Linked DNA regions of Drosophila melanogaster. The protein of the gene in region 4 interacts with the protein of the main gene of each other region in a pairwise test. Each region holds a gene or a part of one and is shown on either strand. Other genes may lie near its edges. The genes, in order: Cpr64Ad, CG13159, CG8841 and SPARC.

Region 1 (6,912 bases), on a different chromosome or scaffold from region 4:
CGGTGTAGGTGACCTTGCGAATAGTGCCATCGGGTTCGGCCAGGGAGTAGCTGCCGTGGACGACTCCGTTGACCAGGGTCTCCTCCTGCTGCTTGGAGTCACCGGTGTGATGATCGGTTACTCCGTACGAGAAGCTGTACTGCGGATTGGGATCGTAGGGCTCGGCAACAGCCACCTTGGCCACAGCGACGGGGGCAGCCAGGACCTTGGGAGCATAGGAGATGGCAGGAGCGGCATACGAGATGGCAGGAGCCGCCAGGAGTTTGGGAGCAGCATAGGAAATGGCAGGAGCAGCAAGCAACTTGGGAGCCGCATAGGTGAGTCCAGGGGCCGAAAGTCCATAGGGATCAATGGGAATGGCCACAACGGCGGACAGGATCAGTCCCAAAACGAACAGAGTCTGGCGAGGAATTCCATGATCAGTTGAGCCAACTAAAAGCTGCACTCCTTTGGCCAACTCACCTGGGCAATCATGGCGAAGGATGTGAGAATGAGGGAGCTCTGGTTTGGATGTGTCTGCACTGCGAGAACTCAGCTCAAATGTGAGATGCATTTTCCGCGTGGTCTTCAGTTTTATATTCGAAACTGGCGGCAGCTGCCAGCGGAAAAAAAAACTGGACAATCTAATGGGCAGAGTGACAATTGCGTCTCATTTGGTGGCTGCCCGATCTCGATCTCGATCTTGCACCCCAGACCTCATCGCTGATGGCGGATTTCGTGTTTCTGGTGCGGATTTCATCATTGGTGCTGGCTTTTCTCAATGGAATAACTGCAGCCGCCGCTGCCGAGGCACACCACTCACCGAAGTCCATTTGAGTCCGTTCAAGAGCGCCGCTCCAAGATACCCAGCTAGTCAGCTACCAGCAACACCAGACTCGTTTTCCGCTGACTCGCTGGCCGATCTGGTTTCATTTTTTCGCCGTTTTTTGGCACATTCTCAGGTTCTCCAGCCAAAATTTGTCTGATGTAATAAGTGCCTCATATTGTGGCAGTTTCAGTTGCAGTTGCCACAAGAACAGTGACAGTGCTTTTTTAGCGATTGTAGGTACCCTTTCAAGAAAAATCTTTAATATCATCAAAGACCTAATGAAAATATGTATTTACTCTCAATTTTCTGAAAATGTATGAAACCAAGATTACAATTGGATATGTAAACACTCATTTGGCGAACATACTTCAATCAATATTTGAATATGTAATTGAAATGCCTGCTGTTAAGTTATGCCGATTATCACTCACACGCCATGTTGTCCAAACGCAAGCAAATTTCGCTTGGTTTGCGTGACGTGCGAGTAATCTTCATAGTAACATACATGTCCAATGTGCCCACCCAAAGTGCAGGGTATAAAAACAAGATCAATCGTTCGCAGCCACTCGTTTAATTAGAAAACGAAAATGGCAAGTTTCGACGGCTTGGTGGAGGGAATGGAATTGGGCGGGACGCAGGCGCAATTACGCACTGGCACACGCATTAACCCCTCGACGATCCGATTTCCACCTGACCAACTGGACCAGCGCCCACATTGCTGAGCCCGGTCACTTAGCCACCGTAATTGCCTCGATCGGGCCAAAAAGCATTTAGCCGGCATTTGGAAGCTCTAACCGCGGCGACCTTGCTCACAATTGGCAGCTAAGTGGCTGTGGTTAGTATTTCATCCACTTTTAATTAATTCTCATCTCAGAGCAGAGTCAAGCGATTGGGCAAGGAACTGCATAAATGGCAGTGGAGCATTCCATTCGCTTTGGCCAAATTGGACGACTGTATATCCATGCTGGTTTCCGGTGGCGACAATCTACGCCGACAACCGTTAGTCAGCTACCACAACCCGACGAGTAATACCACCATTTGGTGCCAACTTTTGGGGCTCTCTCCGCTTCTCCGGATCGCTCAGCGTCTCTCCGAGGTGAATCCGCAGCCAACGAGTCGCAAGGTCGTTGGTTGCATTTAGGAAAAGAGTCACGAACTCAAAACCAGCCACCAGTTACAGCACGAAATCGATGGGGAATCTTTAATCAACCATGGAGTTAGGCAAATTCCAAAAGACCAGAGATTCTTGTTGTTACTGAAGATATTTGTTAGGAAAGCATGTTAAATTTAAAATAAGATTTATCCTTTTCAGCAAAGTCGTTTAGGGGAGGAACTAAAAATCTCCTTATGGAAACATAAACCAAATGCATGGCCATTTATTAGAATAATATCAATATAATTGATGTATCAAATGTTGATAATCTTTCAATAGATTTACAATAGTAATATATGGGTATATAGTATATATATTAGTCTAATCGATATTACTGGGCCACATTGACCCAGTTTCACCTTGTTAAGTGAAACCGAACCCCTTGTGAAAACCCTTATTATGTATAAGTGGTAACTCATTAGCATAAGTAATTGATACCCAATAAGGTGTATAAGAAACTTTCCAATTTATTTGAGACAACCAATTCAAGTAGTACATCAAAATCAGGATCATTACACTCTAAAGATACTTTTTTATCCCAGAGATATATTAATATTAAGTTTTTGAGCTTGAACCCTTGTCAACTCGACGTCATTATGGTAACTTAATTATAAGTTTCGCGCTTTTGGTGTAAAGGAAAATTAAAAGCACTGTCATTGGATGGAACCTGCATGACAATTACCGAAAACTACTGCTCCGAAATATAATCAAATCGCATTCACTTTCGATCCGAACAAGGCAAAAACAGTGGCAAATAAAAATGAAAACTTGGTGTAGCCACCGCAAGACGACTGAAAATTGGAGTACGTGCTGCGAATTTGGATCAAAGCCCGAGACGCAGACGCAGCCAAATGCTGGGTAGGAAGAGGCGGCCCCAAAAAGCGGCGATGGTGATGATGCGGGGGGCAAGGAGCTCGGACAATGGGCTACCATACGCAATTGGTACGCAGTTCCCTCCACGGAGCACCGCATGCAAATTTCGCGAACGCATCTGGGTATAAAAGTCGTGGTTTTTTTGTCCAAGGTATGTCAGTTCATTTTCGATAACCGACGGTGACAATCGCACTAAACCCCCACCCAAGCCTTACAATGAATCCTCTGACGGTAAGTGTTGGTGATGGCTTCGGTGAACCCGTCAGGTCAGGAGACTAAACTGGACTCCATGCATTTTCCTCACAGGTTGTTGCAGTCCTTTCCTCGATGGCCCTCTCGGCTCAGGCTGGTCTGGTTGGCGCTCCTCTGGCCGCCGCTCCTCTGGGTGCTCCTCTGGCTTACTCCGCCCCTCTGGGACCTGCTCCATACTTCGCCCCGGCTGCGTACTCCGCCCCTCTGGGCTACGCGGCTCCTTTGGGATACAACGCCCCTCTGGTGGCGGGACCTGCTCCCCTGGTGTCCAAGACCTACGCTGCCGCTCCTTTCGCCGCTCCCTTCGCTGCTCCAGTTGCCCCAGTTGCTGCTCGCCTGGCTGCCCCAGTCGCCGCTCCTCTCGCTGCCCCAGTTGCTCCAGTAGCCGCTCCCCTGGCTGCTCCAGTTGCTGCTCCCCTGGCTGCTCCAGTTGCTGCTCCCATCGCCACCGAGATCGTGGATGCCCACCCACAGTACAAGTTCGCCTACGATGTCCAGGATACGCTAACCGGTGACTCCAAGACCCAGGAGGAGACTCGTGATGGTGATGTCGTCCGTGGATCCTACTCTCTGATCGAGCCCGATGGTTCCCGTCGTATTGTCAGCTACTACGCCGACTCCATCAACGGTTTCAACGCAGTGGTGCAGAAGGATGTGCCCGTGGCTGTTGCCCCAGTGGCTCCAGTTTTGGCCAAGACCGTGGCTGCTCCAGTGGCTCCAGTTGTGGCTGCTGCCCCCGCTCCAGTCTTCGCCAAGACCCTGGCCGCTCCCATCGTCGCCTAAGTAGAAGGAGGAGAAGTAGGAGTCGTAAAGGAAGTATTGACCGCAATTCGACAAAGGACTTTCATCTGTACATATTCGATTAATCATTGTCGAGCTATTGAATAACTTTCATCGCAAAAACCCAAAATTAAAGAAATTCTGAAAACAAAAGATTGTAGTTTATTGTTTAAAGGCATCCTGGATTACGAGAGTGATATCATATAGAGGCTTAAGAAAATTATTTAAGTATTTTAGCTTTAATATTTATAGGTAATATTTATATGTATCATTCTTTATATTTTAAGGATTACACTTAAAACTTGGTGTTCTTTTTAGGGAAGTGGATGAAGAGTTCTGGAAGCTTTCGCAACATGAGAACGTGGCCAGGATGCGTCTGAAATTGGAGCCTCAGTTATATCCAAATAAACACGAGAATGCCGCCAATCTGCGCGACAATGCGACCAGTGCCTACGACACCAAGTAAGCCCAGCCAGTCCTTAGTAGTGTCCTTCATAATCTGATTTTCAATATCCTTTATCTTAGGGAAATCTCTGAATTTGACTCCACCATCAAGAATGCCGTGGTGCGCGATTTCCTGGCGGATGACGAAAGTTCCCAGCTGGAGGAGGAACTACGTCAACTGATCGACACGCAAGCGCAACAGGATGTGGCGCTGGAGAAGCTAGTCATGTCACAGGACTGTGAGCTGATCACGCTGATGACCAAGGTGAAGGGACGCATTGAGGTTAACCAGAGCGTGTTCACCTTTGTGGACTTGAGCCCGCCAACAGAGGATGGTTCCAAATACGATTTCAGGTTCTCCACCAACAAGATACGTGAGGTTCATCTGCGAAAGTACAATCTGCGCAGGAGTGCTTTGGAAATCTTCCTGGTGGATCAGACTAGCTACTTCCTCAACTTTACGACGAAGGTGAGTTTTTTTTTTGTAAATAAAATGTGATCATTGCAAATGTTCTTATTTCTTTAAGACTCGAAATAAAGTTTTCACAAAAATCGTGGGTCTACCGCTTCCAAACATACTCTACGGCTCGGGAAGATCGCCGGCTGAGCTGCTTAGGGCCTCGGGACTCACACAGAGATGGATCAATCGTGAGATTTCCAACTTTGAATACTTGATGTACCTAAACACAATCGCAGGTAAGCAAATAACATCTGATTATTACATACATTTTTATCAAACTAACGTATTTTACATAACTAGGTCGATCCTACAATGATCTAAGCCAATACCCCGTCTTCCCCTGGATCCTTGCTGATTACACCAGTGACGTGCTGGATCTTACCGATCCAAAATCGTTCCGTGACCTATCCAAACCCATTGGATGCGTAAGTATTACTGAAAATAGAAAAAGGTGATCAGTTACATGACAAACGCATTTCTACCGCAGATAAATCCTAAAAACGAGGCCGAAGTGCGCGGCAAATATGATTCATTCGAGGACCCCTCTGGTGCCATACCAAAGTTTCACTACGGAACCCACTACTCCAACTCGGCCGGCGTGCTCCACTATTTGCTTCGCGTCGAACCGTTCACCTCGCTGCACATTGATCTGCAGAGCGGTCGTTTCGATGTGGCCGATCGACAATTCCACTCGATACCTCAGACGTGGAAGTTGCTAATGGACAATCCCAATGACGTGAAGGAGCTGATCCCCGAGTTCTTTTACTTCCCAGAATTCCTTAAGAACATGAATAAGTAATGCATGTGGTTTTTTACTTTTACTTAGTTAGCCTAATGTTATTTTATGTGCAGATTTGATTTGGGCCACTTACAAATAACCAAAGAAAAGGTGGACGATGTCATATTGCCTGCTTGGGCTACCACGCCGGAGGAGTTCATAGCCATACACCGACGGGCTTTGGAATCGGAGTATGTCAGTCAGCATCTGCACCACTGGATTGATCTGATCTTTGGGTATAAGCAAAAGGGACCCAAGGCAGCTGAGGCTCTAAACGTTTTCTATTATTGCTCCTATGAAGGCGCTGTGGATTTGGACAAGATCACCAACCCTGTAGAACGGGAGGCGGTTGAAGGTGGCTTACACCAAGACTTTTTTTTTTGCTATTTTTATTGACATCCATTCATTTATATTAGGAATGATTAATAACTTTGGCCAAGTGCCTTCACAGCTGCTGCGGGAGCCACATCCACGACGCCTTACTCAGGATGAGACGGCTCTAAAGCTGGTACGTGCTGAGCTCCGAAGGCCGGATCTTACTCAGTTCCTGGACAAGGTGGTGCAGTACTACTGCGAGCTGTCCACGCCCAAGGATCCCATTGTGTACCTGAGTCCACCGCGAAGTCCTCCGCGATCGTTCCTGCAGCTGAGTCCCGATGTTCTAGTCAGCATATCGAAGTCCACCATATTGGGCTGCAATTCGTGGCTATCGTTTGATAAGGATCAGGGATTCCTGCTGGAAATCGATGCCACAACGGCTAATCTAAAGTATGTTTAAAGATTTAGCAAATCGGTCATATTAATGTACATATCTTTAAAGGAACCGCAAGCGGATCTTTGGACCCTTCCACTCGTCACAGCAACCGCATTCACAGCTCTTTGCGGTGAGCACGGATGGTAAGCTGCTCTATGCCGGTGGAATCTGGGATAACTCCTTAAGGGTGTACAATCTGAACAAGGGCAAGGCGGTGGCTTCGGTGACCCGCCACCTGGACATTATCACCTGCATAGCACTGGACAATTGCGGCTCGTACCTGGTCACCGGCTCGCGTGATTGCACCTGTATTGTGTGGAGCATCCAAACAAATCAGCAGGGCGGTGGATCCACTAACAACATTCCAGTTCATGCGCTGACGGGTCAGTCGCACCTACAGGCCATCACCCAGCTGAATACTCAGAATAGCTATTCACCCAAGCCCTTGACGGTGCTCTATGGTCACGACGATGCCATTTCCAGTGTAGCCATCTACACGGAACTGGATCTGGTGGTCTCTGGATCCCTGGATGGAACTGTCAACGTGTACACACTTCAGGAGGGTCAATTTGTTAGAACACTGAAGCCCATTGGATGCACTGAGTCGTGT
Region 2 (6,235 bases), on a different chromosome or scaffold from region 4:
AAACTTCTTGGAGGTACTACCACGATATTCGGACGTTGTCCACGTTTCTTGAAAAGATAATACAATTCCAAGCCGCTTCAACTTCATTTATGCCAAATGCCTGAAACTAGGCAACATAATATTGCGTGCCCTGTAATGATCATTAAAGCTGACTGAATGGATAAAGATCTTTCCATTTGGAATAGAGTGCCGCACTAGCTAATGAAATTATTATCGATTAAGTCTACTATGAGTTTAATGATATCCATTTAATATAATATTAATCACAAGCATGATTAGATTGGCCAATATTATACATCGAAAATGAAAATCTATGGAAAAGTTATGCATGTATTCTAACGCATTTATTTGGTTTACTTTCTTCAGGTTCAGTTGAACTTAAGTCTTTGCAAATCTTATCTAGAAAAATCAGGCTGTTTTACCATCCCCCTCATTAAAGAACAAGTATGAATAAGGTTTTCCCGACCACACGCGCCTAGCCCATAAAATCAGAATATTCAGTACATATTTTGATTCACGAGGGTAAGGTCAAGGAATTGGACCCAAGTGAGTTAAATCTTATCTGAATACGGGTTATTTCCAATATATTTACAATCGCATAAGAAATCGATCCAAACGCAAAAGTAAATTGGAAATCAATACATCATTAGTCATTAGATCGCAAGACGTCATCGTTTGATTGCATATCTGCCACTTGATTAAGTCTACTAAAGTCAGTATTAAATTCCACAGCTAAATCATTTGCTAATCATTGAAAATCCACTCTGCATTTGTTGTTGTATGGCCAGTTTTATTGTTCATTCGCACACGTTTTGTAATTGAGTAGAACCAGGTAATTCGATTGTAGAAGTCGATGTGATTACCTAACCACGTCGGTTGTTGAACCCGCCGGGCTGCTCTTGTGGCGGCGGCGGAGCGGTGGCCAAGTAGGCCAATGCCTTCTGGATTGCAGGCGGGATGGGTGGCGGCGTGGGCAGGTGGTCGCCCTGCGGCTGGAAGCCATTCTCGTCCGCCAGATAGGTTATCCGAATCGGAATGCCCTCGGGTGAGGTGTACGAGAAGGAGCCCTGTGCGACCTTTGGAGCGGTAAAAGGGCAAATGCAAGTTAGTGCTCGTTTCGTTTGGCCAACTGGTAGCCGGCAAATGCCAGGCACGACTGTGAATGGAGTTCTCCTACACCCACCTGGCCGGCATTATCGGTGCCTGGATTCTTGAGGTAGCCCTCCTCCTCGGCGTTGATGCCGTTGCCCGTCTCGTACAGATACTTGTAGGAGCCGTCGAAGTTGACCTCCTGCTCCTGTCTGATAATTGGAATGGGTTCTCCCGGCGCTTGGCCTCTCACTTGTGGTCTGGCCTGGGCCAAGCTGAGCAGCAGGGCTGCTATGAAGAGCAGCTGAAAGCACGCGGATGCGATATCAGCATGGAGTATACCCAAGTTGATCTCTTCCATCTTACTGTGTATTGCATGTCGAACCGAGCTGTATCCTGTGATCCTGGGTCCTGGTCGTCTGCTCCGAGTTCGTCTCGATCCGTTACTGTGGTCAACAGAGGCGACTCTTTGCATATTTATACCAAATCGCTTGAACTTTTGCACACAGACACTATTGCAGTTGGAGATTAAAGAGTGAACGCCTAGCATTTTGAAGACCCGCCGATCGGAAGCCTCTTTTAGGTGGCTCTTGTCGGAGGCCAATACCATCTCCCATGGAGCGCAAATGAACCGAACCGGACCGGACCGAATCGAATCGAATCCACCTACAAGTGCACGACCCATCCGATATGCTGCAATTTGTCGAATGAGTTGTCTACATGACAGCCACAGTGGGGACTCTACTTTATCATTAGAGCAAAGAAAAATATAGTTTAGTATAATATCTCACAACATTAAGTTGTTATGCTGGAAGTTATCATCAGCACAGTTGCATCTTCAATTGCTTGCTGCAATAGAAACTATCCTAGCTAGCCATCGCCCACTGTGCACCTGTATTGCGAGGGGCGTTGGAGGCACTATGATCATCTCGGATCGTGTTGAACATGACCAGCTTGACATTCATAACTCATCCTCGGCAGCGTGAGAGGAATAGGGACAGACTGCTGCATTCCTACATCAATTTGTCAGTGCAGTCATTAGACATTTGACTCAACGGCTTGATGATCATCATTGGCGGGATTATGACTGCCACCTGACCATGATCATGTCTGGCTGGCCAACTGACTTACTCACCAGCTAACTGAATGTGGCAAGTGCCGCTTGACCTTTGCGGCAGCCGAACAGATGTTTCTTGAACAGGTCCGGCCAAAAGGCGGTAATGCCTGAGCCGGGGCGTTCCGTTGCCAGTTGAGCAAATGTCAGTTACCGCCGAAGTAGAAATGGAGGTGGAGGTGGAAGTAAAGCCCCAAATGTCCCACCGCCCAATGCTACGTGAGATGGTTAACTTCGATTGCGGTATTGTGTGAGAGCAAGAGACGGCGCTTGTTTGTTTTTTGGTATTTGGTGTTTTTATTTGGCTATTCAGGTGATGAGGATCGTATCAAGTGGCAGCATCGTGGATCGGATGGGCGGCTCTATCCGGACTTCTTGTTGAACAGCAGGGACAGGAGCTGTTGCTTGATTGGCTTAGTGGTGGTGGTGTCCGTGGTGTAGGTGTAGGTGGGGTAGGTCGGGGTGGTAGTATAGGTGTACGTCGTCGTCGTGGGCGAAGAGGGCGTTGTGGGAGTGCTGGTTGTAGTTGCGGTAGATGCCATTGCGATGGCCAGGACAGCGGAGAAACAGACGAGGACAGCGAAGAACTTCATGTTGATTGGATTTTTTGGGCTTTTAGGATTGCTGGCTGGCTGTTGCTTATCGACGGACGAGCTGCTGAACTCTGAGTGTGTCTTTCGCTGGTCCAGGCCTCACTATTTATACCCATATTTTGACTGCGGCAGTCGTAGTATTCCCTGTAATGTTTGCACAAATGGTTCCTTTACCGTTTGCTACATTGCTAGCTTTCCCCCACCAATGTTTACCGACCAACTCATTGTGAAATGCATCCAATGTTTGATCCCCTTCCATTTTCCGAAAAATAAAAGTTTTTCGGGTTGGGAGTGTCAATGACTTGGTATTCTTATTAGCTAACTATCCTAGAATATATGCCGTTCGTAGCTACTGGGCCACTCCATCGAGAAGGCAAAGTCCGGAAGTGTGGCAAGGAACTCCAGGCTCAACGCATCCCGCTTATCATGTGGACTGACATAGTGTCCAGAGACGCCCATCTCAAAGACGGGTTCATTGAAGTTGCCATCGTCCTTCTAAGAATCAGTTAGTTAGTATAGTTATCAGAACGACCCATTAAATACGCACAGAAAGTTCCACGAAGAATTCGATGGGAGTGTTATCAATACCGTAGGTTAACATGACCTCCAGAGGAGGCCTGTAAGTGGCCGGATTATCCAGCATTGCGGGAGCAAACGTCCATCGGAGTAGTTTTACACCATCCAGTGGCTTGAAGAACAGACCCATATTTGGCGGACCAGTTAGCCGGAACTCATAGCGCACCTGATAGCCACCGGACAGAACTGTCTTGCTAAGGAACTCCAAGACCGTTGGATAAGGCAGTTCCACGGGCTCCTCTCGAGCAAGCCAAAGTGCATGCTCCCGGGCACTACAATATCGGTAGCAGGGAATACCGCACATCAGCTCGGAGTCGCAATCCTCGCCCAGGCGTACCAGGTTGGTCAGGTTCATGTGATCGCGCAGAGGTGCCTCTTTGTTTCGATCCCCCAGATGGAAGTAGTAGCCAGAATCCTCGTGGCTGATGGAACCATTGTACTCGAAAAATTTGCGATGCACTTGCTGCTCCGACAAAGAATAGAACTTAGTCGTCTTTCAAAGGATGCTTATTAGTGTTTCCCTTACCATGAAGTCGGCACGCATGACATTTGTTTTGGGCCGATACGGGAATCCGACATCCGAGACGGCAATCATGCAGAAAATAAACATAACCAGTGCCAGACCACCCAGCATGCAGTTCGGTCGCCGAAAGACATTGATTAAAGGAGCCTAAGTGAAACTGATTAAGTAAAGTAGTCAATAAATGTGAATAACTTTCTTACAGCAAAAGATAACGCCAAAATTGTGCCAAAACCACATAGAGCGCCGATTAGTATATCCGGATTGGTGGAGACGCCAAAGCGACCAGTCATCGGAATGAGAATAAGTATGAACATGTGGAACAAGTAGGCGTGGTAAATGAAGGGTATAATCTGGAAAACAATCAGCACCAGTGACCACAGATAACCTAAAGTGTTGGCATGAATCATTAAAAGTTCTCCACGAATATATAAGCTAACTTACCGCGACAATGGAGACGGGTCAGTAGGTTAATGATCAGAGCAGCAACGTAGAAAATGAGAGAGATCAGAAATAGATAGGCACTACGGTATTTAAGAGCCGTTGCACCCAAACACAAGATGGCCAAAAGGACACAGTTCGCGTGACCCACAATATGCAAGTAATAAGTATGGGGGATCTTGTTCTGCAGAGGATAGCTTAGTATAACAAAATAACTTCGTTAACAAGTGATACTACTTACACACTTCGTATGCGTCAAGTAGAGGGTCATGGGCAGTACAAGGCCAATAACCGATGGACAAATGTACAACCCAATGACCAGCCAACTGTTGCTAAAATAGGTCAACGTTCTATTTCCCCAATCATAAAAGGTGGCCATCAGCAGAGGAAAGGCCACGGCGAGGAGAGCACCAGCTAGGGCTAGCAGGAATAGGAGTCCAAAGACGCCGGCATAGGTGCCCATAGTCTGTCCAGTAACCCGGGACATTCGCCACAACGAGATGCAGACCAGCAAAATGGCACCGAACGAGAAGAAGAGATTCAGGGCCAAGCTAGTCGACTCCTGGTAATGGACAAAGAACAGTCCAATAAAGTCGAAGAATACTGCATGTCCCGCCGCGTGTGCCTGTTGAAAGATTACCATGAAAAATGGACAAAAGCCACTCGAAAGAGGAAACCCACCTCTGTGTCGTACATTTCTTCGGCATTCGAAATACTCCATACCAAGGCCAGTAAATTGTCGCCGGAATTCTGCAGGGAATCGAGACTTATCACCGCGTAGCGATCGAATTTCGTGTGATAAACGAATCCATTGTACACGCCGGCCATGTCCAAGCCTGAAAGAGAAGAGCTCCTGAGTAGTGTGGTTGAAAAGGATATTTTCTTGCGCCGAGATTCCCACCTGGCACAACTCCAAAGTCCCGAAAGATCCGGAAATCAGTATCCGATGGTATGATACCAGCCTCGAACATCTCCTCGGCCGTTGTGGTGGCGAACGGGTGCGGGGCACTGTTTCTGTAATGCTAAGATAAGGCGGAAGATTAGATTAATTGATCAGCAGCCAGACGGGTGATATAGCAGCCCCCATATCGGAAATGCGATCAGAGCATTCCCAAATATATGAATCACCAATGGCGTTGCCGACTTTCGGGGGGTTTTTAGCTCCACAAACAGGGGAACTTACCTCCATCAGCCAGGGATGATTGGGACCGCCCTGGAAGAGCAAATCACGTCCACCAGCGCCAGCGGAATCCAAGTTCAGTAGAGCCCTGTTTGGATAGCGGATTAGAGATTCCGGTGATCTCCGCCTGAGACTCAAACTCACTTGCAGTTGGCAGCCCATCTGTGCTGCGTGATGAAACCATGTGATCCCTGCATTGGCTGCTCTTCGGCACCATTGAAAAGGAATATAATCGGATGCAGGAAGGGATCCCCTGAAACGGCGACCAGACGCAGTACCTCCAGCATTACGACAACCATGGCAGCATCATCTCCGGCACCTGTGGACAATAGTTATTGAAGGCCTATCCGAAATGCAGTCCATCATTAGACTCACCAGGTGAACCCGGCTTGGTATCGTAGTGACTATTGACCAAAAGGTAGGAGGTGCTATTTGAGCTCTTCGTACTCAGTCTAACGATCACATTCTGCACACCCTGATAGTGATTCGTTAGGCCTTTGATCAAGTAGGATCCGGATGCCCGTTGCACCTCCACCTCCATTTCATAGACATCGTCTCGCAGCACCTGGCGCACTTTTTCGATTTCAGCGAGCAGCAAATTCACAACTGTGACTTCATTATCAACATCACCCACCACACGGGGTCCCAATCGACTTATTTGCAGCAGTATTTCCTGAGCTCTCTCGGCCACGAATTGTCCCGGTTTATCCGCCTCCTCGGAG
Region 3 (9,879 bases), on a different chromosome or scaffold from region 4:
ACCTGAAATGTAATCGTAATGTGAGATGTGAATGGTAATTATTAGATGTTTATGTACGTACCTGCTAGAGTTCTTTGGTAGCCCGTTTCAGTGCTTTTATCAAACATAAAGCTTAGGGCGCTCAGAGAAGCACCCCACACAATATTGAAGATCTCCACGTCGTATGATGCGTCATGCACATAGTGAAAATGTCCATCGTGCGTGTCTCCTCGTCGAAGCAGTACTTTCCATTGATAATTTTCACGCACCAGACCCGTTTGCTCTGCTGGCATAACGATCTCTTCGTTCCTTAAATAATTAATAATCGGAAATATAAGCAAATGAGAGTGACGCTATATGTACTAAAGCTTACTTGATTGCATTAAAGACTTGAGCCAGCATTTCTTGATCGAAATCTTCGCCACCGTTTAGACCACGCAAATTCTTAGTGAAGTCCTCGAGCGTCATTGGAACATTTAAACGCTTCGCGTTCGAGTTGTGCTGATCCATGTTCAGCATGATGATGGCATAGGCCAAGCGAAAAGCAGCGTCTACGTTGGCAAACGGATCTTGGTTTTGTTTCTATATTGGTGGGATACATACATGATTAATATCAGAGACTGCAAGTATTTTAGTAGATGTGTATACTCACATGCCAATGATCAGAAAAGTGTTCCAGCACCAAAAAGATCAATGGAGCCTCTCCGGGCAATCTGAAGGTCTCCAGATAAAGACGCAATGCTTGATCCACTCGAAGACCAGTGAAATCAAACGAGTCCACAAAATTAATTAGAATCTTAGAGTCGACGTTTTTCTTTTTCGAGATATATTCGCCAATCATTTTTTTATCGAGCCCGGGATTTTCTCGAAGGAACAGGGCCACCTGCATGGGATCAAGCTCGGCATTTAGGATGCCGTGTTCTTGCAGATACTGGATTCCTTTCTCTGGACGCTGATTAAATCGCTCTGTGCCTTGGGATAGCAGACGCTTCTTCTGTTTGACCTTGGCCAGCTGTTCACTGGTTATTCCCACTCCCTCTCCGCCAGATTGTAGTCGTAGTCGATGTGAGCTCGCATTTATAAAGCTTGCGATGTTCTCCACTTTCTCTTCTGCAGCTACACTATTGCCAGAATCAATTACGATTCCCTCCAATCCGCTGTTGTGGCGAGAATGGCGGCTGCCACCTGTTGCTGGGGCAGCTTCTGGCAAGGACTCTCTGTTGTTGCTGCTATTCTTGCTCGCGGCACAATTTCGCTCGATACTGTCTATCACACTTAACAGGGTGTCCATTGAGATAATGTGGGTGCTATAAACTGCATTCGTTGCTGACAGCGTATACTTGCTCAGTAGGTTTGTCAAACTTTCAAACATATCCGTGCAGTACAAGTCACAATCGTAGTTGATATACAATTCCGTGACGAAGCCGGGAATGCGCCACAACTGCAGTAGATTGTCCAGAGCGAGTTCTCGCATTTCGTAGGGCGTCTTGGGATTATCGCTAGCAATAATCTCGCTCAATTTTCTAAGGTAGGCTTCCAGCTGAAACTTGAGATGTCCGCGGAGAGACTCGAAAAGCAAAAAACAGAGCTGCAAATCGGCGGCAAAGATGCTAAGCCGCTCTGAGCTGAGAAGCTGTAGGGAAAGGAAAGAGTTAGGTCAGAAATAACTAACGAAGCAATTAAGAGTCCCTTACCGATATTAAGTTTCTGCATAAGTCGTCCTTAACCAGCTCCAGCAAGCCCTCATACTTTCCAATATTATCGGCTGCGACTTCAAAAGCTACAGTAAGTAGACTAAGACCCGTGTGCATCATGCTATCCGAGTTCTGCTTATCCAGAGGATTGCAGAGGATTATGAGGAATCGGAACAACTCCTGGATGAAGGGCAGGCCATAAGGGGATAGTGATGTTACATCGTGATCGGTGGACTGCTGTGTAAAACGGACGCCCACCGAGTTGATGTACTCGCTACTATTTGCCTCGGCCAGGGTGCTGGTTGCTTCACCCGTTTCGCCGTCCAGCAAGGGCTCCGATTCAGTCGACTCCACTTGAATAACAGGAGTCTCCGGGACAGTGGTTTCATCTTCCCCCGTGCTCGCCGTTGTTGTTGGTGTCTGCGTAATCTTGCCCTGCATGTCCAATATGTTTCCCGCTGGACTGGCGGGTGTGGTGGCCAATATGGGTGCCTTCAAGTGCCCTGGCACCGTCAGGTTGGCAGACTGCGGTGTTTGAGGCGGTTCCTCCACTGCTGACGATTTCCTGGGTGCTGTCTGGGCTTGGGCAACCGTCTTACGCTTTAGTTTTTCTTGGGTAGCTCCGCTGGCAGCATCGCCGATAGTAAATCGCTTCTGGAGCATGGTGTCACTTCGCTCTTCGGCGAACTGGGGAAGGCGCATGAAGAAGAGCAGCACCATGTCCTTGAGCGATTTTTCCGCCGAGCGACGAAGCAGTTCACTCAGCCTCGGCTCGAAGGAGATCTTGAAGCAGCTGAGCATCACCTCGCACATGGACACATTGCTGACGGCGGCTCCTTCGGGACTGCGGATAAGCGTGTGCAGCACCTCAATCACTCGCATAAAGGTGACACCATCCGAGGACTGATCGGTGCCCATAAAGCGGGCATGTGTCACAGCATCGGCAATGCGCTCCACAATGTCAGCCAGATTTGGAGACGTGGGATCTGTGGATAGGTACAGAATGAGCAAATGCAGAGGGTAAGCACTAAATCATAATACCTATTAGCCCGTAAGACAATAATTTGTTAACCGAGGCCAAGGCTAGACTAGTCAACGGACCCGTGGCGTCCGCCGTGCGAATCACCTCAAGAAACGGAGCCAGGAAGACCTGAGGCTCGATCTGACGCAGGTCCTCGATCCGATTTAGCTCATGCTTGAGGTCAATGAACAGCTTCAGCAGCGAGTCATTCTCGTCGTCCTGTGGATGTGCAAAAGGGCCATATACTTTCTATTCGCAGTGAGCATTAGGGGCACTATTTACCACGTAGGCGGTGGCATTCCAACGCGTTCCACGTCGCATCGCCGTCATCAGGGTGGCCATTTCGCCCCGCACCACGTAGATGCCGTTGCCTGGAAGCGCCATGGTGTCCGCGTGTCCTCCGTTGCGGTGTCTCTACGACTGCAGCTAGTTGGCTTCCAGTTCCAGGGCTAGCGCTGAAAATTGCAGTTTTCGTGGGGCAGGGCAGCTCCTCCTCCCTTCCCGACGACCTTCGCATATGTTTTGGCACTCGCCACTTGCCCACTCGCACACTCACGCTGCCTGGACGAATCTGGGCGTGCTGCCTAGTTGGGCATCTCTCACTAATCCTAACTAATCGAACTGGTAAGCTGCTAATTTTTGGTGACGTTTACGTGTCGTTTATGTTCTTGTGTGCAGTCCGAATATTTTGCACAAGCGTCTTCCAACACCGGCGCGGCAGTTCGTCGCTTCGCAGCACTGGCACAGCTGTAGATGCCAACTCGATGCGGAAATTTCAATAGATTAAATTGAAATACAGCTGCAAGCGTATATAAAAAAAATATAACCTTGTTTTTAAAATAAAATATGTTGCCAAGCTGTCGATCAAATTGATTTAATCAAATTGATATTTGAATATGAGGGCCAAAACAGGTGAGCATAATCAGTCACGCACGCATCTTCAGTCGTGAGCGTTACACCCACCACTAAGTTACACTGGCATTTGGTGCGTAGGCGAATTTCTAATTGGAATCGTTCGATTTTTGAAAAAGAATCGCATTAAATGCAAAGCATTCCTGTTCCAGACTACTGCGCACACTTGCACTGAGGCGATCGAGCACGGGGCAGGTGGATTTACAGGACTCAGCGATACCAAAGCAGCCCACAGGCCGAACAATATGGGAAACACGGACTCCAAGTTGAACTTTCGCAAGGCGATTGTGCAGCTGACGCAGAAGAACCAGAAGATCGACCCCAGCGACGAGCAGTTCTGGGAGCAGTTCTGGCAGGGCCACCAGACGACGCTGGAGGATGTGTTCGCGCTGGTCACCTCGAGCGAGATTCGCCAGATACGGAACGAGAATCCAGCCAACCTGGCCACCTTATGCTACAAGGCGGTGGAAAAGCTTGCCCAGGCGGTAGACAGCAGTTGTCGCACGCAGGCGGAGCAGCAGTGCGTTTTGAACTGCGTGCGGCTGCTCGTCCGGTGTCTGCCGTACATTTTCGAGGACGAAAAGTGGCGCGACTTCTTCTGGAGCAGCCTGCCATCGCAGGACAAGACCATGCCGTTGGCTCAGTCACTGCTCAATGCCACCTGCGACCTTCTTTTCTGTCCCGACTTCACGGTTACGGCCACGCGGCGTGCGGGCCCCGAGAAGGCCGAGGAGTTGGCGAACATCGATAGCTGCGAGTACATTTGGGAAGCGGGCGTGGGTTTCGCCCAGTCACCGCCCCACAACGCCCACATGGAGCGCAGGCGCACGGAGTTGCTGAAGCTATTACTCACCTGCTTCTCGGAGCCCATGTACCGATCGCCGCAGCAGTCCGAGGAGCCCAACAAGTGGATAGCATATTTCACCTCGGCCGACAATCGCCATGCCCTGCCGCTGTTCACCTCGTTTCTGAACACCGTGTGCTCCTACGATCCGGTGGGCTTCGGCGTGCCCTACAATCACCTGCTGTTTGCAGACACCACAGAGCCCCTGGTGGAAGCGTGCCTTCAACTGCTCATTGTCACCTTGGATCACGATATGGTGGTGCAGCAGCAACTCACACAACCCGGACAGGCGTCCTACGACGAGGGCAATTGCGGCGACAACTTGTTCATTAACTATCTTTCGAGGGTTCACCGCGACGAGGACTTTCACTTTGTGCTCAAGGGCATAACCAGGCTGCTGAACAACCCACTGGTCCAGAACTATTTGCCCAATTCCACAAAGCGACTTCATTGCCACCAGGAGCTGCTTATTTTGTTTTGGAAAATATGCGACTACAACAAAAAGTTTCTGTATTTTGTGCTAAAGAGCTCCGATGTTCTGGACATCCTGATTCCCATTCTGTATCACCTAAACTACTCCCGAGCGGATCAATCTCGAGTGGGCTTGATGCATATTGGAGTATTCATACTGTTGCTCCTATCGGGTGAGTCATATGTCATATGTTTTGTTCGTGGAATCAGTGCACTTACACTTAAATAAATGTTTATTGATAGGTGAGCGAAACTTTGGGGTTCGGCTTAACAAAGCATACTCCGCCACGGTGCCCATGGATATACCTGTGTTTACTGGAACCCATGCGGACTTACTCATCACTGTGTTCCACAAAATAATAGCCACTGGCCACCAGAGGCTGCAGCCGCTTTTCGATTGTCTGCTGACCATTCTGGTAAATGTCTCACCATATCTGAAAACCCTCTCGATGGTGGCTAGTGTAAAGATGTTGCATCTCCTGGAGGCTTTTAGCACACCCTGGTTTCTGCTATCGGCACCCAGCAATCATCATTTGGTGTTTTTCCTGCTGGAGATCTTCAATAACATTATACAGTATCAGTTCGATGGCAACTCGAATCTAGTCTACACCATAATTCGAAAGCGTCATGTGTTCCATGCCATGGCAAATCTCCCGACCGATATGGCTGGCATAGCCAAGTGCCTGAGTGGCCGTAAAACAGGTGGAAAGTTTAACTTGCCGCGGGTACCACAGCGAAGAACGCCAGCTGTGTCCCAGGAACTGCCCTCGGCCCACGTGCCAGAAGAGTACAACGAAGAAGACGAGGATGAGGACGAGGAGGAGATAATTAATGAAGAGCCCAAGGCGGAAGAGGATCTCGAATCGGAGACAGAGTCTCATGAGCGATCTCAGGCGGGGGAGCTGCAGTCGGACGTTCTCACGGCGCAGCCAGCCGAGCCAGGAACACTGAAAACGTCCTTGTTGGACACCCCGGGCATTACTCAGATGACGGAGCGGGAGCAGGCGCATCCAAATGACAAGCCTCAGGTGGAGGATTCTACAGACATTGTGCCCTACGACAGATCAGCCGCTTCGACGCCAACTGACGAACGCAAGTCCACCTCACCCACGGAATTGTCCCGCTTGTCGGTGGCCCACAGGGCCAGCATTCGCATGGTGCCTGGCGAGAGCGATCGTTGGACGCCCACGCCCGAGTGGATCGTCTCCTGGCGCTCCAAGCTGCCGCTGCAGACCATCATGCGACTGCTTCAGGTCCTAGTGCCCCAGGTGGAGAAGATCTGCATTGACAAAGGACTGACCGACGAGTCGGAGATCCTCAAGTTTCTGCAACACGGAACGTTAGTGGGACTGCTCCCAGTGCCGCATCCCATTCTCATCCGAAAGTACCAGGCCAATGCGGGCACAACGGCATGGTTCCGCACCTACATCTGGGGTGTCATCTACCTGCGCAACGTGGAGCCTGCCATCTGGTACGATACGGAGGTCAAGCTCTTCGAGATTCAGCGCGTCTAGGTCAGTAAGTGGACTCCCAGCTACACCAGCAGCGCAATCGTAGCTTACACGCTTTGGCATTTACTGTAGTTAATTTATTTAGTACATATTTCATTCCAAATGTTTTTGTGAAGAATCAGTGTGTAATGAACTACCTTTCCCACAATTTTGCTTATTGGCAACAAAAAAAATGAGGCTTATCAGTTACGATGTGGCATTGAGATCCATTCAACAGATTTGTTATCGGCTTTTAGCATTGATATTTAATTGCTTTCCTAATTTGTTTTGAAGAGTGTTCTAAAAAACAGTATAAGCACAAAGTGTTTTTATTTTAGTTAATGACTAAATTATTAAACAACTCATGTTTTTGTAATCTGTGACAGAAAATGTTCCTTGTGCCGTATATTTTATTGCATGGTTTTATTTATTTTATATTTTAATAATTTAAAAATTTCCTGTTTTTACTTATGTATGTATTTAAGGTGCAAATACCAAGAATAAATTACTTTCACTCAGCCACTCTACAAACGATTCGCTTTATCCAAACAAATTTGTAACTGCACCTATTGACACCATAAAAAGCTTTACGTTCTCTTGTAATGATTAGGAAACTTTAGTTGAGTCCAATGAACTGCTTTGTAAACTTAATTAAATATAGACATTAATGATAGAATTGAGAAAGTGTATTAATTTACTGTCTACGTGTGCTTATAAACTATATACACAAACTAAACTTATGACACCTATACAAGTCAGTTTATATAAATCATTTACGAAATATAGAGCAGAACCCAAGATAAGTAATAAATAATAAATAAATTTCATAAAACGAATTGAATCTTGTATTTTAATTTATAAGAATGGCCAAATATAGAGCCAAATGACAGTTACTAAAAAGCAGTTTCATATCAATCGATTTTACATTCTTGTAGGTTGCGTTCACGGTGGAGAGAAAGGACTTCATCCTTTCTTTTACGCTTCTTCAGTCGTTCTGCTTGCTCTCGATCCTCCAATAGTTTGACCAAATGCTGATGCCAGTAGAAGTATTTGAAGAAAAACAATAGAAGCAGCACCGAAGTGGTGACAATGGATGCGGTTGTGATCTCTACGGGCTTTTCGCCTTCCTCTTCCACCCGCTCCGAGAAATGGCGGGTGGATATTCTAAGGCCGAAGTTTTGTTTGCTTGCCGCAACATTGGGCCGATCCATGAGCACCGAAGGCAGCAGCGGTAGTTGTCACGACTGGATTGTATTGGAAGTGGCAGTGGATGCGGGCACTGGTGGCGGAGCTACTGGAATAATCGAGAATTTGATAAACGCGCTCTTGCTGCGCCTTTGCACTATTCTGCCAATTAGTTGTGGTTCCTTAATGGTCTGTTCGATGGCCTTTACTATGCGCTCGGCGCTGCTCTCGTCCGATCCACTGGCATTGCCCTGGATAAGGATGCGAACCTCGTGTCGCTTGCCCAGCCACTTCACAATGTTCTTGAGTCTGGAGGAGAGATCGTGCTCTGTGATGCGCGCACCAATGGTAAGGGATTTCTCCGTTTTCTTATCCTTAACTTTTTCGCTCGCTGATCTCGACTGCTCCGCATCATCCGACAGCATTTCAGCAGCTGTGACTAGTCTGCAAAGTATAGCAACTTCATAACAATGACCAGGCCCCGATGATAACCATATATACCCACTTGAACATGGCTCTTCCTGTTTTAGCATCTGTTTGCTCCAATCGCAACAGGTGCAGATCCCGTCGCTTGGCCAGCTTTTGGGCCTCCTCCAAAGTGGTTATGCTAATTGACTGGTTCTGTTGGATCAGGGTGATCTTCTGGACACTTGCCTTTAGACTCCGTGTATCCCTCGTTCTACTGTCTCCTGGGCTTCCACCCACCGGCTTTTGGTGCTGCGCCAAACTCCAGTAAACGGTCAAGGGACGCAGGTGTTGCTGCTGAATCGCTGCTGCGGCAGCATGATTAAACATTAATCTTATGCGTTGCATGCTTCTCTTTCAAATATATTTTTGTATATCTCTTGGTTATTTTCGATTTTCTTTTGCTTGTGCAATTTTTTTGTCTCAGAGTTGTCAGGTTATGTGAAGCAGTCTGTTTTAACAGCTGTTCCGGCAGGTAAGTACCAGCTGACGGCTGGAGTTATCGATAATTCAAGCCGCCAATAACACCCAAGTTAAAAAGAATTAAGTGTAGTATGTTTATTCTTCAGAATGAAAAATCAGTCGGGTAATATGATACAACAACCAGGATCAGCAGGCTCATAAAAATTTCTTCAAAATATGAAATGTTTTTCCTCAGAAAACCGATAGAGACATAGAAAACCGATTGCTCGCATGAATTCTAAAATTTTGTTTTTGTATTTTGTTTTTTGGTTTTCGTTCTTGGGTATTTTAGAAGCCGAGCTTTGAAATCGACTTCAGTTCCTAAGAGAGACATCACGATGAAACTACAAGTAAGTAAAGTGTTCTGCTAAAAAATATTCAACTATAAAGTGTTTTTTATCCTTTAGTTCCTCCTGTTTGCCTTGTTGGTTTGCTGTTTGGTCAGCAATGCTGCAAGTATATGTTGTTGTACGAAATATGTTGTGCGTAATGGGAAGTGTAAAAAAATATATATATGCAGCCGTCACAGACATCATTGCAGAAGCCATCGAGAATCGTGGTGTGGAGATATTTTCCAATATGGTTAGGAGGCGAAAATTAGAAAATGTTAATCGAAAAACTAATTTTATAAAAATACAAATAAAGTTTGTAATAAATGTTTTAAATGTGGTTAAAAGCGAAATATGAAATATGTAAACAGGAAAATATATTTTCTTATTAAAATACAATTAAAGCTTGTTAATTAATGTTTGAAATAAAGCTCATACAATGATTAAATTACAAAAATAGTGTAATAATAATATACAAAGTTTTAAGTTCCTTAGTAACTGAGAAAGTCGAGTCATTCGAGTTACGCAGACTTTCTCTGCTTTTAAGCTTATCAGGGACCTTCTCAGCTCACAAAACCGGAATACCATAATGCGAGAAAGTGTGTACGTACTGAAGATTAGGAATATATGTATGTACATGAACTTAGACATTAAAGGAAGAATAATCAATAAAATTGGGCAAGCCCCATCCGTTTGGAATTAATACATAGCAAATATTCTAAAAGATTGGTTGTGGAAACGATTTTTGTTTTAGTGCTGCAATGTTGGGTCAATTGTCTTTTTTTTACGATTTAATTGTTAACTTCAGTACTTCAACAAAAAAAAGATGTGAGGCTTATGATATAAATTTGTAAGAAATGTGTACAAAATTTGTAGAATGAATCGTAAAAGATTTTTAAAACATTTGTAAAAAAAGATGAAACGATTTGGTAGTTTTTCCGATATGATATTTGTCAAATGCAGAAATAACATTTAAGATTTACATACTTGCGCTGAGTATACATATATATAAATTATTGTAAATGCA
Region 4 (8,742 bases):
CTAGCATCTCCCCAACACTCACATACATACAAACAAAAAATACAAACACACAAAACGTATTTACCCGCACGCATCCTTGGCGAGGTTGAGTATGAAACAAAAACAAAACTTAATTTAGAGCAAAGTAATTACACGAATAAATTTAATAAAAAAAACTATAATAAAAACGCCAATCATGTTATTTCCAAAAAAAAAAAAAAAAAAAAAAAAAACTAGACGAGATGTTTGCGCTTGTGTCGATGAATGTAAAGAATTGCAACTACATAGATGGTAATTAATTTCAGCTGTAAGAAGTACAAGTTTTTCATAATTGTGAGAAAAGTGCAGTAGTATCGCTTAAAGTTCAGTTTTAATCAGGGCATTTAGCAGCTCGAACCCAATGTATTTGTAAGCCCAATAAACGTGTAAATGCCTAGAGCAAAATATCACAACTGTAGCTTTTCATCCGAAAGATAATAATGAATAGACTGACCTGACGTTTTTCAAAATGCGTATTATTTCAAAGAAGTTGTTATATATTTCATTGAATAGCGAGCATTTACACAATTAACTGCTAAATTAGACATTTTTCGGATTAAGGAAGCAAGTAGTAACTACCTATTGCATACTACAGAAGTGGATATGGAAAATGGGCTGTGTCCTAACCCAGAAGATGGGGCTGAGCCCGCTGGACGTCGTCGCAACGCTCCTTGAGGTCCTCGGGATCCAGCTCCAGGCAGGCGCCCCACTCCACCAGGGTGATGCGATGGTCCTTGTTGGAGTCGCAGGACTCGAGGAAGGGTGCGATGCAGTGCTCGAGACTGACCAGCGGAGCACGGATGGGGAAGAGCTCGTGGCGCGAGACGGAGCGATCGGTATCGCCGTCCAGGTCGCACCACTTCCACACGGCGGCGTTCGACCAGCGACGCGAGTTGTTGGTCTCCGCCTCCAGCTCCATCTGCATGTAGTGCTCGGTCAGCTCGTCGCGCTCGGCCAGGTCGCGCATCACGTTGAACAGCCAGTCGCGCATGCGCCTGGGGAAGTCCTTCAGGTCCTCGCCCTCGCAGCTCCTGGGCTCGTGGCAAGCGCCGTAGTAGTCGATGTGCATGTGCGCGTTGTCCGGATTGGTGCAGCCGGGCTCGCCGCTGTCGCACCAGCAGCGCTGCTGATACACAGAGCAGTCCGACGGCCAGGTCTCGTTGGTATTGGTGCAGACCAGGCGGCGAGTGTCCACCTCCTCCGGGCACTCCGGAATGCACACGCATTTGGGCTTCTCGTCGTGCATCTGGCAGATGCGACCGGCTCCGCAGCTCATCGTTTCGCACAGATCCACCTCGACAACGGGATTGAGTAGATTGTGCTGCACTTCGGCCAGCTTGGTGGCAATCTCATTCTCGCGCTCAATATCCTTGATCTGCGAATGGAATTCAGTTAGTGCATTAAGTGTGATTTGTGGTTTGACTTGCGGCCACATGCCTTGTTCTTCTCCTCCAGCAGGCGCAGGAACTCCTCTTCGTTCTCATCGATGTCGGACAGGTCGAGGTCCTCATCCAGCAGATCTTCGGAAAACTCCGTAGAGGCCTGGACGTGGCTCACAGCCAGCAGGCCCAAGCCGAGCAGCAGCCAAAGGGAGCGCATCTCGAATGGCGATCTCAACTACAGGGATTGCAAGTAAAGCATCTTTAAAACACCTTTTTCTTCTCTTTATATTTAAACTATATATTTGGAACTAAAAGTGCCTTTATAAATAGAGTACATTATCAAGTCATTGCGATTGTGAAAACCCAAATTACATTGAGATTAGCTGTGGCCCTGGCCCAACTTCCGTTTCAAGGATTGGTTTGCGACTGTACCGTGTGCGCTGCGTCGTTACTGTACTCCACTGGCGATCTTGTAACCACCAAACAACGGGGTGGTTTTACATGCACATCTCGTGCGGCGTCTTTTTGCTCATTGAAAACAATTGAAGAAGCCGCAAAAATCTTGCAGGGTTCAAAAGGTCAACGCGAATGTGGCGCGCAGATACAGATGCATTTCCTTTTATGGGCAATTTTATTTATGGATCTTTAGATCTTGTGGAACAACAAAGCCAACTCATTGATGGCGGAAGATGACTACTGCAGATCTGGAGTTTTTAAAATAGAAACAAAGTCGGGGGAATGGATAAAATCTCAGAATTTTCAATGTTTGCTTTTCATTTCCTGCTGCCTGCTGCAAATAAGCATTTTTCTCGCTTTTTGCAACCGCAAATTTGAAATATGTTTGAATATTTCAGAATTTGGGGCATGTTGAACACATGTTGAGCAGTTCAAATCGTTTATGAAATCATCTATATATGCAGATGCTCCCATTAATGCGAATATACCTGATTAAAGCTGACCTTAATCCTATTGCTAAACACACACACAGGCTAAACTCAAGCCGAATTTTCGTAATCATTTCAAGATGTCGCCCCAGTTCTATGCTCAATCTTAGTACATGTGCTATATGGCATATATGGCACATCATTGGTTGCCCAACGACACAGTTGGCTTATCAGGTTCCAGCCCGACTTGGCCCCACCGCCGCTTATCAGGATCGGTCGGTCGCTTCCGTTTTGGGTAGCACAAGCAAGATGTGCTTAATCGTCGCTTTTGTGCCGCTGAACATCAAGTCAAATGCGCAGCTATGTATCTGGCAATTGAGAAATGTATACGCGATCTCGCGGAATGGAGCTTCCAGGAATATCCGAGAGTGGGATGCTGCTGCAGTGCATTCCACATGTTGCACACATATATATCTATGTATACAATGCAATATATACTTCCACATGTGTTTGTTTAATTATGCCGACGAAACTAGAAACAATGACGTGATGCAGTGTCCAAGATGCAATGTTTATGCATCGCGAATGAAAGTGGACCAAAAGCAGATACAATCTACTTGAATTGGCGGAAGTGCAATTCACAGTTGACCTTGCAAATCACTGGACTTACTTTTGCTTCTCAGTTCTGACCAATTAACGAACTGATTTCATCGAAAATAAAGTCCAATTGATTGACTATTTGCCAATGAGCAAGGAACATTGAACTTGAGCAACTCGAGCCAGAGCTGAGCTTGCAGAAATTTGAGGAACAAGCAAAGTATCTGTATCTGCATATGTCACACACTTGTTTTGTTAATCCGATTACGACACTCAATCCTTTGTTTCACTCTGCGTGAGTACTCACTGTGCGTTCAATGAAAAAGTGTTTCCCTTCAAATGTCTAATCGCGTTGGCGGATGGCAGGCGACTGTTTGCCTGTGGAAAAGCTTCGGAATGATTACGGATCGCCAAAGTGGAGCATGGAGCACTGCCTGCCCATGGTTTTGGTGTCGCCTCCAACGTGTTGGCTCCCAACATGTTCGCTTGGAATAAAAACACTGATTGCTTCGATTTTGGCAGCTCTTTTTTATTGGTTTCTTGCTTTTCAACACATAAAATAAATCGTGTCCTCTTCTACGTACCTCATAGTTTATGGGAAACTTGAGCCTTGGTCTTTTGAAATAGGCCACTCCAGCGTTGCTCCGGGGGTTTATTTTTTTTTTGGAAAAGAAATAGGTTGTTTGCTTAGAAAAGCGTAATAAAGATTCGATAACAAGATACACATAAGTTAGAAACTTAAGAGCACTTATAAAAACTCTAGTTTATCCTAGATGAGATCCGTTACTAACTTACCTTACGAATTAACTTTGTCTCAAGAGTATTTTGTAGAGTAGAGTATGTTTAAAATTAGAGCGATATTTGTTTGTATCTAGAATGGCATAACGGTAACTAAATATAGTTTATGCTATCGCTAAAGAGAAAGAGACTTACATATCGTCAGCTAAAACAAATACATAGTGTTGTTTTTAATTTGTATTTATTTAAAATAAATATGCGTATGGGTTTTCATAGAGTTCGGTTAAGTGATAAATTGTATCTCGATAATGCAGCATAACGAATCTTGCAAATTGTGGACTAGACCTCTCTTATTTCAGTACTGCATTATATATAAAGATCAATTCAAAGCCCTTGGCGTGCACAACAGCTTAATAATAGGAGAGAGTCGAGAATAAATCGTAAGTCTAGTTAATCCGAAAGCATATACATTTTCTTCGCATTTTTTTCGGGTATATACACTTCTTTGAGTTCGTCATGATATACAAATAAGAAGAGATATATGTAGTATATGAATTAACATCGTGGGCGACGAGATAAGAAACCTTTAACATTAATACAGTATATAAGTGTCCGATTCTTGCTTCTTGTAAAAATTGACATTTGTTTTGATATCATCTCTTGTGTACATTAATAGTTAAGGCCACGCCCGCCAGCCCTGCGTATGATTTGATTTGATTTGGGATCCGACTTCGCTCCGGATTCTTATATTCTTGTTTCTTGTTTCTTGTGTTTTTTTTGTTTGGACGTATCTTCTTATTTGAATGGTTTAGGTAATACATAGGCATCTACGATTAAACTACTTGTTTTGGGCCAATAAGCTCAGGCTACAGCTCCGTGATTTATGTCTAATTAATTGATCTTGATTGGCAATTGTTCTTCCATCCTCCACCATTGCACAATCCTTCTTCTTGTTTTACAGATAGAGAGAGAGGTTTAGATTTAAATAGAGAGCCTGTTGTAATTTCGTATCGTATTTTGGGCATTCTTCTACGATACAGAGTTTCATAATTATGTCTAGAGTAATTCGAACTGGAGAAGTGCTCGCTCCTCGCAATACGTTGTATAAAATAGTTATATATAGTCTGCCATAGCTTAGGTCAATCGTAGGGTAATCAATGGTATAGCTTAAGTGTACAGTAAAATCGTAGTTAGTTGTCCTATGATAGAGAGACAATGCGTTAAGTTTCCTGCTTAGTAACTCTAAGCGAGTGTGGCCTAGCTTATGAACGAGCTTACTAAAGAGTGTCTTGATTCTTGAGCTTTAGCCGCCCAAAGAGCATCTAAATCAAAGAGAATTTTAGACATTAGTAATTACACATAAACAAGTACTTCAGACGTAGTGCATCAATGGCGAGTAATATATGCGTATATGGATATATTCGTGGCAAGACGTATTTGAGGTAGCTCTTATGCATAGACCACATTCAAAAGAAACGACTAATGGCGGGTACGGCTACTCACCCAATCTAGCGGCGATATTTGCTGTTGGCACTGCCTCCAGTGGCCACGGAGCCATTGGATACGCCAACAGCCTTGGCCCCAGTTGGCGGCGGAACGCTTCCATTAGGCGGCAGTGGTCCAGCGTTGTAGCCCGTATATGCTGGTGGTTGAGGAGTGTCTACAATTAGTAGCTGTTCAAAATTACATGTCTTTAATAATGGATTATACCTACGGTAGCTGTTGGGCGGACCTGCCGAGTAAGGATTCATGCGGTTTGCATTCATATTGTTGTGCTTGGATGGTCCGCCTCCGTAGTTTTGCTGATAGCCAGTGCCGAAATTTGGTTGTGGTGTTGGCTGTTGCGAAGACTGCTGCTGGTGGGATGGAGGAGCTGCACCCGGCACTGGGGGCGGCATGTTCCAGTTACCTGGAGCCGTCGGCGGTGGTCCATTGTGACCCATGGGTGGTGGCACTGCTCCAACCGGCGGCACCTGTTGCACTGGTGGAGGACAACCCCACTGGTTGGCGTGCCACTGCTGGGCACCCGGTGGTGGCGGTGGTGGTGCATTCCAGCCATTTTGTTGCGGCGGCGGATATGGACCCCAGCCGTTCATCTGCTGCGGCGGTGGCTGCTGGTAGTAGGGCGGCATAGCCGGCGGAGGTGGTCCCCAGTAGTTGAAGTTTGGTGGTGGAGCAGACATAGGCGCCGGTGGTGGCTGTTGTTGGTAGGGGCCCATGGCCTGTTGTGGCGGCACTGGTGGTCGAAAGCTAGGTGCCTGCATATTGCCATTAGGTGGCTGCTGTCCGCCACCCTGCTGTTGCTGCTGCTGATTGAGCGACGGCTTGATGGCGTTGGCCAGCCCACCTGGCTGCTGTTTCTCCTTCTTGTCCAGGTTATAAATGGACTTCTTGACGTCCACGTGAACGTACTTAATCGCATGTTGCTTTTTAACTAAACGGGATGAAGGTTCATAATTAATATCAATCTAATATTTAGCATTTTAGCTTTTATGCTTACGGATAGCCTTATCCACTGCATCGTAGTCGTCGAACTCGACGAAGGCGAAGCCGCGACGCTTGCCAGTGGTTTTGTCAGTAAGCAATTTAACGGAGACTACATTCCCGAATTGGAGGAAGTATTCACGAAGGCATTCCTCATCGTGGTTATCCTTAAGACCGCCTACGAACAGCTTCTTCACGGATATATTGGTCTCGCGCGATTCGCGTTCGGGACGGGGCAGAGCACGCTTGGCTTCCACAGTTCTGGAAGCGAAAGGCCTCATGGTATAGATCTATTCTTGGTACGATATGATCCCCCACCAAGTCTATACTCACTTGCCGTCGATGATGTGCGGACGGTTCTCCTGGGCCCTGTCGACCATGAGAGACTTTGTGTAGGTGATGAAGCCGAAGCCGCGAGATCTCTTGGTGGCAGCATCGCGCATCACCACAACATCGACCACCTTGCCCCACTGGCCGTAGAACAACTTCAGGTTCTCCTCGGTGGTGTACGGGGCCAGCCCGCCGATGAAGAGCTTACGCAAGTGCTCCAGCTCGCATATGTCCTACCGGTGCAGAGGTGGTAAGTGGGTTAGCCAAGTGGGTTGGCATGTGGTGAAGGGTGGTATGTGTGAAGGGAAACAAATATAGGTGCGTCACTTGCCAAGCCGCATACATGCACAGAAAGGTACGCGTATGTACTTACATCTTCCTCGCGATCTGCAAGCACAATCACATCGGCGGACTCGTCCGATAGGGGCTCATCCTTCACCATTGTGTTAGCAAATTAATTATCACTAAATTTAACCGAAATTAAGAAACGAAAACGACCAGTTTGCACGTCGAACGGTTGAAGCGAAGTGAAAATTGTGCTGTCAGGAAGCGAATCATTGATTCGATACACCCACTCTCTCTGTTTGTTATCGATAAGTTGGTTAGGGGTATTCTTGAAATTTCTAAAGTGCCAAGTTTCTTTACTATCGTAATAATAAATACATACACGAATTGGATATGCGATAGCTGTCAAATTGTAATATAGTTTTTCAGAAGCAAAGCGAAAACCGCCAACGTATACTAGCCCCTTTATGCATTCAATTGAGTATTCAACTTAAGTTCTAATGTCGGATTCGCCCCATGAGGAGCACCGCTTGTGCGGTCTGGGGAATCACACGCTGAGGTCCCCGTACCGCGTAATCAGAAATCCGCACCTGCTGAAGTTTGGCCAGCTGATAAACTCGGAGCTGCGGTCTCAGCCACTGTGCCTCTCGTGCTACACGCAACTGATCCAGCTCTACCGGCTGAAGAACAACAATGCGAAGAGACACCTGGCAAATAGACAGGCAGCCAGTGCTATTCTCTCGAGGAGCAGTAGTGAGAAATCTCATGAGTCCGCGGCTAGTGTGTCCACAACACAATCCTCGGAGGAGCAAGAATCAACCACTAGCGCAGCGCCGGCGGCGGCGGCTCAAAGAGCAGGAAGCCAGTTGGTTGAGTCCAATTCTTCCGACGATACACTTTTCTCCGATGACTACGATCCCAGCTCGAATCTGAGTTTGAATGCCGTGAATGGAACGCGGCTACCGAATGTCCAACCAATTCCGAAAAGGCGCCAGTTTGTGCATCTAAATCGTGAAGCTATGGCCATTTATCTGGCGGGAACTACTGGGGGATAATGTTTGTTTCATTTAGGATATTTTCATAAATTAAATTTGAAATAACACTGTTACCATCTATGTAACCATCTATCGATAGTTTCCGCCATGTTATTAGCAGCAGAAACAGCTGGCTGAGCACCAGGGCTGCATTATTGTTTGTTAGTTTTGCTGTTTGGTTTTTAACAAATTTCCTGGTTTTCCCTCAAAAACCCTCTCTTATATAAATAAATCAAGTGCAAAATGCTGAGTCCATAACAACACACGTAAGTTTGTTGGCAAGCAGTGAGTGATTTCTTCGAAAAGTGCAATTCCTGCAATCTGTTATGTTTTCACAATGACTTTTATTCGATCTTAATCTAAACAGTTTAAAGCTCAAATAAATGTAATCAATTAGCAAGTATTAGCAAATGTTAATAGGCGTTGTTGTTTCTCGACGTCGCTGCTGCTGCTGCTGTTGTTGTTGTTTTTGTTGTTGCTGGCGCTGGAACTGGTCATCGATGTCGATGAAATTGGCATCCTGCGTGTTATCCTTGGGCAGCGCTGCCGGCGTCGCTGCCGCGGCATAGTAGTTTAGGCCCACGCCCACCGCCACGCCCCCAGTGACGCCTCCGGGGGGCATGGTCGTGGCAGCCTGACCCATTATAGAGCTCATAAAACCATTGGCCACGACAAAGTTTCTGAAAAATTGATTACATCAATGTACAAAATAATTTCGAGCAACCCCCTCCGGCACAAAAAAAAAAAAAAAAAAAAAAAAAAAATATGGAAAAAAATGATATCGTCTAATTGGGTCTGTGTGCGCATAAATGTCGTAAAATTAATTTCGTGTTAATTTCATGTTGGCCATCAATTAAACTAGTGACATTTCACTAAATTACTTCCGTTTCGAAAATGCAGGTATAAATACCCAGTTAAAATCCTCTTCACGAGCTATTCATCAACCATTAATTTATGTTCATTTAATATTATTTAACTCAATCAAAATCG

The links.
Region 1: the proteins of SPARC (region 4) and Cpr64Ad interact in a two-hybrid assay, tested with the Drosophila melanogaster proteins (one large-scale study listed by BioGRID).
Region 2: the proteins of SPARC (region 4) and CG13159 interact in a two-hybrid assay, tested with the Drosophila melanogaster proteins (one large-scale study listed by BioGRID).
Region 3: the proteins of SPARC (region 4) and CG8841 interact in a two-hybrid assay, tested with the Drosophila melanogaster proteins (one large-scale study listed by BioGRID).

The regions. Positions count from the first base shown.
Region 1 is NT_037436.4:4,212,400-4,219,311, forward strand, and holds Cpr64Ad (cuticular protein 64Ad), read left to right. Parts: upstream 1-2,979; 5' UTR 2,980-3,050; coding exon 3,051-3,065; intron 3,066-3,140; coding exon 3,141-3,869; 3' UTR 3,870-4,015; downstream 4,016-6,912. Other genes in the region: CG43367 (uncharacterized protein), read left to right, coding at 4,185-4,328, 4,392-4,779, 4,838-5,006, 5,071-5,195, 5,258-5,565, 5,623-5,903, 5,965-6,316, 6,369-6,912; Cpr64Ac (cuticular protein 64Ac), read right to left, coding at 1-400, 463-474.
Region 2 is NT_033778.4:12,371,930-12,378,164, reverse strand, and holds CG13159 (uncharacterized protein), read right to left. Parts: upstream 2,880-6,235; 5' UTR 2,797-2,879; coding exon 2,566-2,796; 3' UTR 2,487-2,565; downstream 1-2,486. Other genes in the region: Cpr49Aa (cuticular protein 49Aa), read right to left, coding at 864-1,076, 1,184-1,393, 1,456-1,467; CG13160 (uncharacterized protein), read right to left, coding at 3,124-3,291, 3,344-3,835, 3,899-4,042, 4,096-4,280, 4,337-4,517, 4,575-4,958, 5,015-5,169, 5,235-5,355 and 3 more.
Region 3 is NT_033778.4:12,319,873-12,329,751, reverse strand, and holds CG8841 (uncharacterized protein), read left to right. Parts: upstream 1-3,493; 5' UTR 3,494-3,606; intron 3,607-3,636; exon of another isoform or gene 3,637-3,758; 5' UTR 3,759-3,851; coding exon 3,852-5,094; intron 5,095-5,164; coding exon 5,165-6,435; 3' UTR 6,436-7,245; downstream 7,246-9,879. Other genes in the region: garz (gartenzwerg), read right to left, coding at 1-2, 62-288, 353-561, 632-1,612, 1,674-2,659, 2,715-2,913, 2,977-3,078; mIF3 (mitochondrial translation initiation factor 3), read right to left, coding at 7,650-8,040, 8,102-8,409.
Region 4 is NT_033777.3:26,868,738-26,877,479, forward strand, and holds SPARC (secreted protein, acidic, cysteine-rich), read right to left. Parts: upstream 3,259-8,742; 5' UTR 3,189-3,258; intron 1,831-3,188; exon of another isoform or gene 1,773-1,830; intron 1,636-1,772; 5' UTR 1,618-1,635; coding exon 1,456-1,617; intron 1,394-1,455; coding exon 641-1,393; 3' UTR 501-640; downstream 1-500. Other genes in the region: Rb97D (ribonuclear protein at 97D), read right to left, coding at 5,128-5,279, 5,334-6,053, 6,120-6,364, 6,437-6,666, 6,807-6,875; ms(3)K81 (male sterile (3) K81), read left to right, coding at 7,219-7,773; ro (rough), read right to left, coding at 8,156-8,432.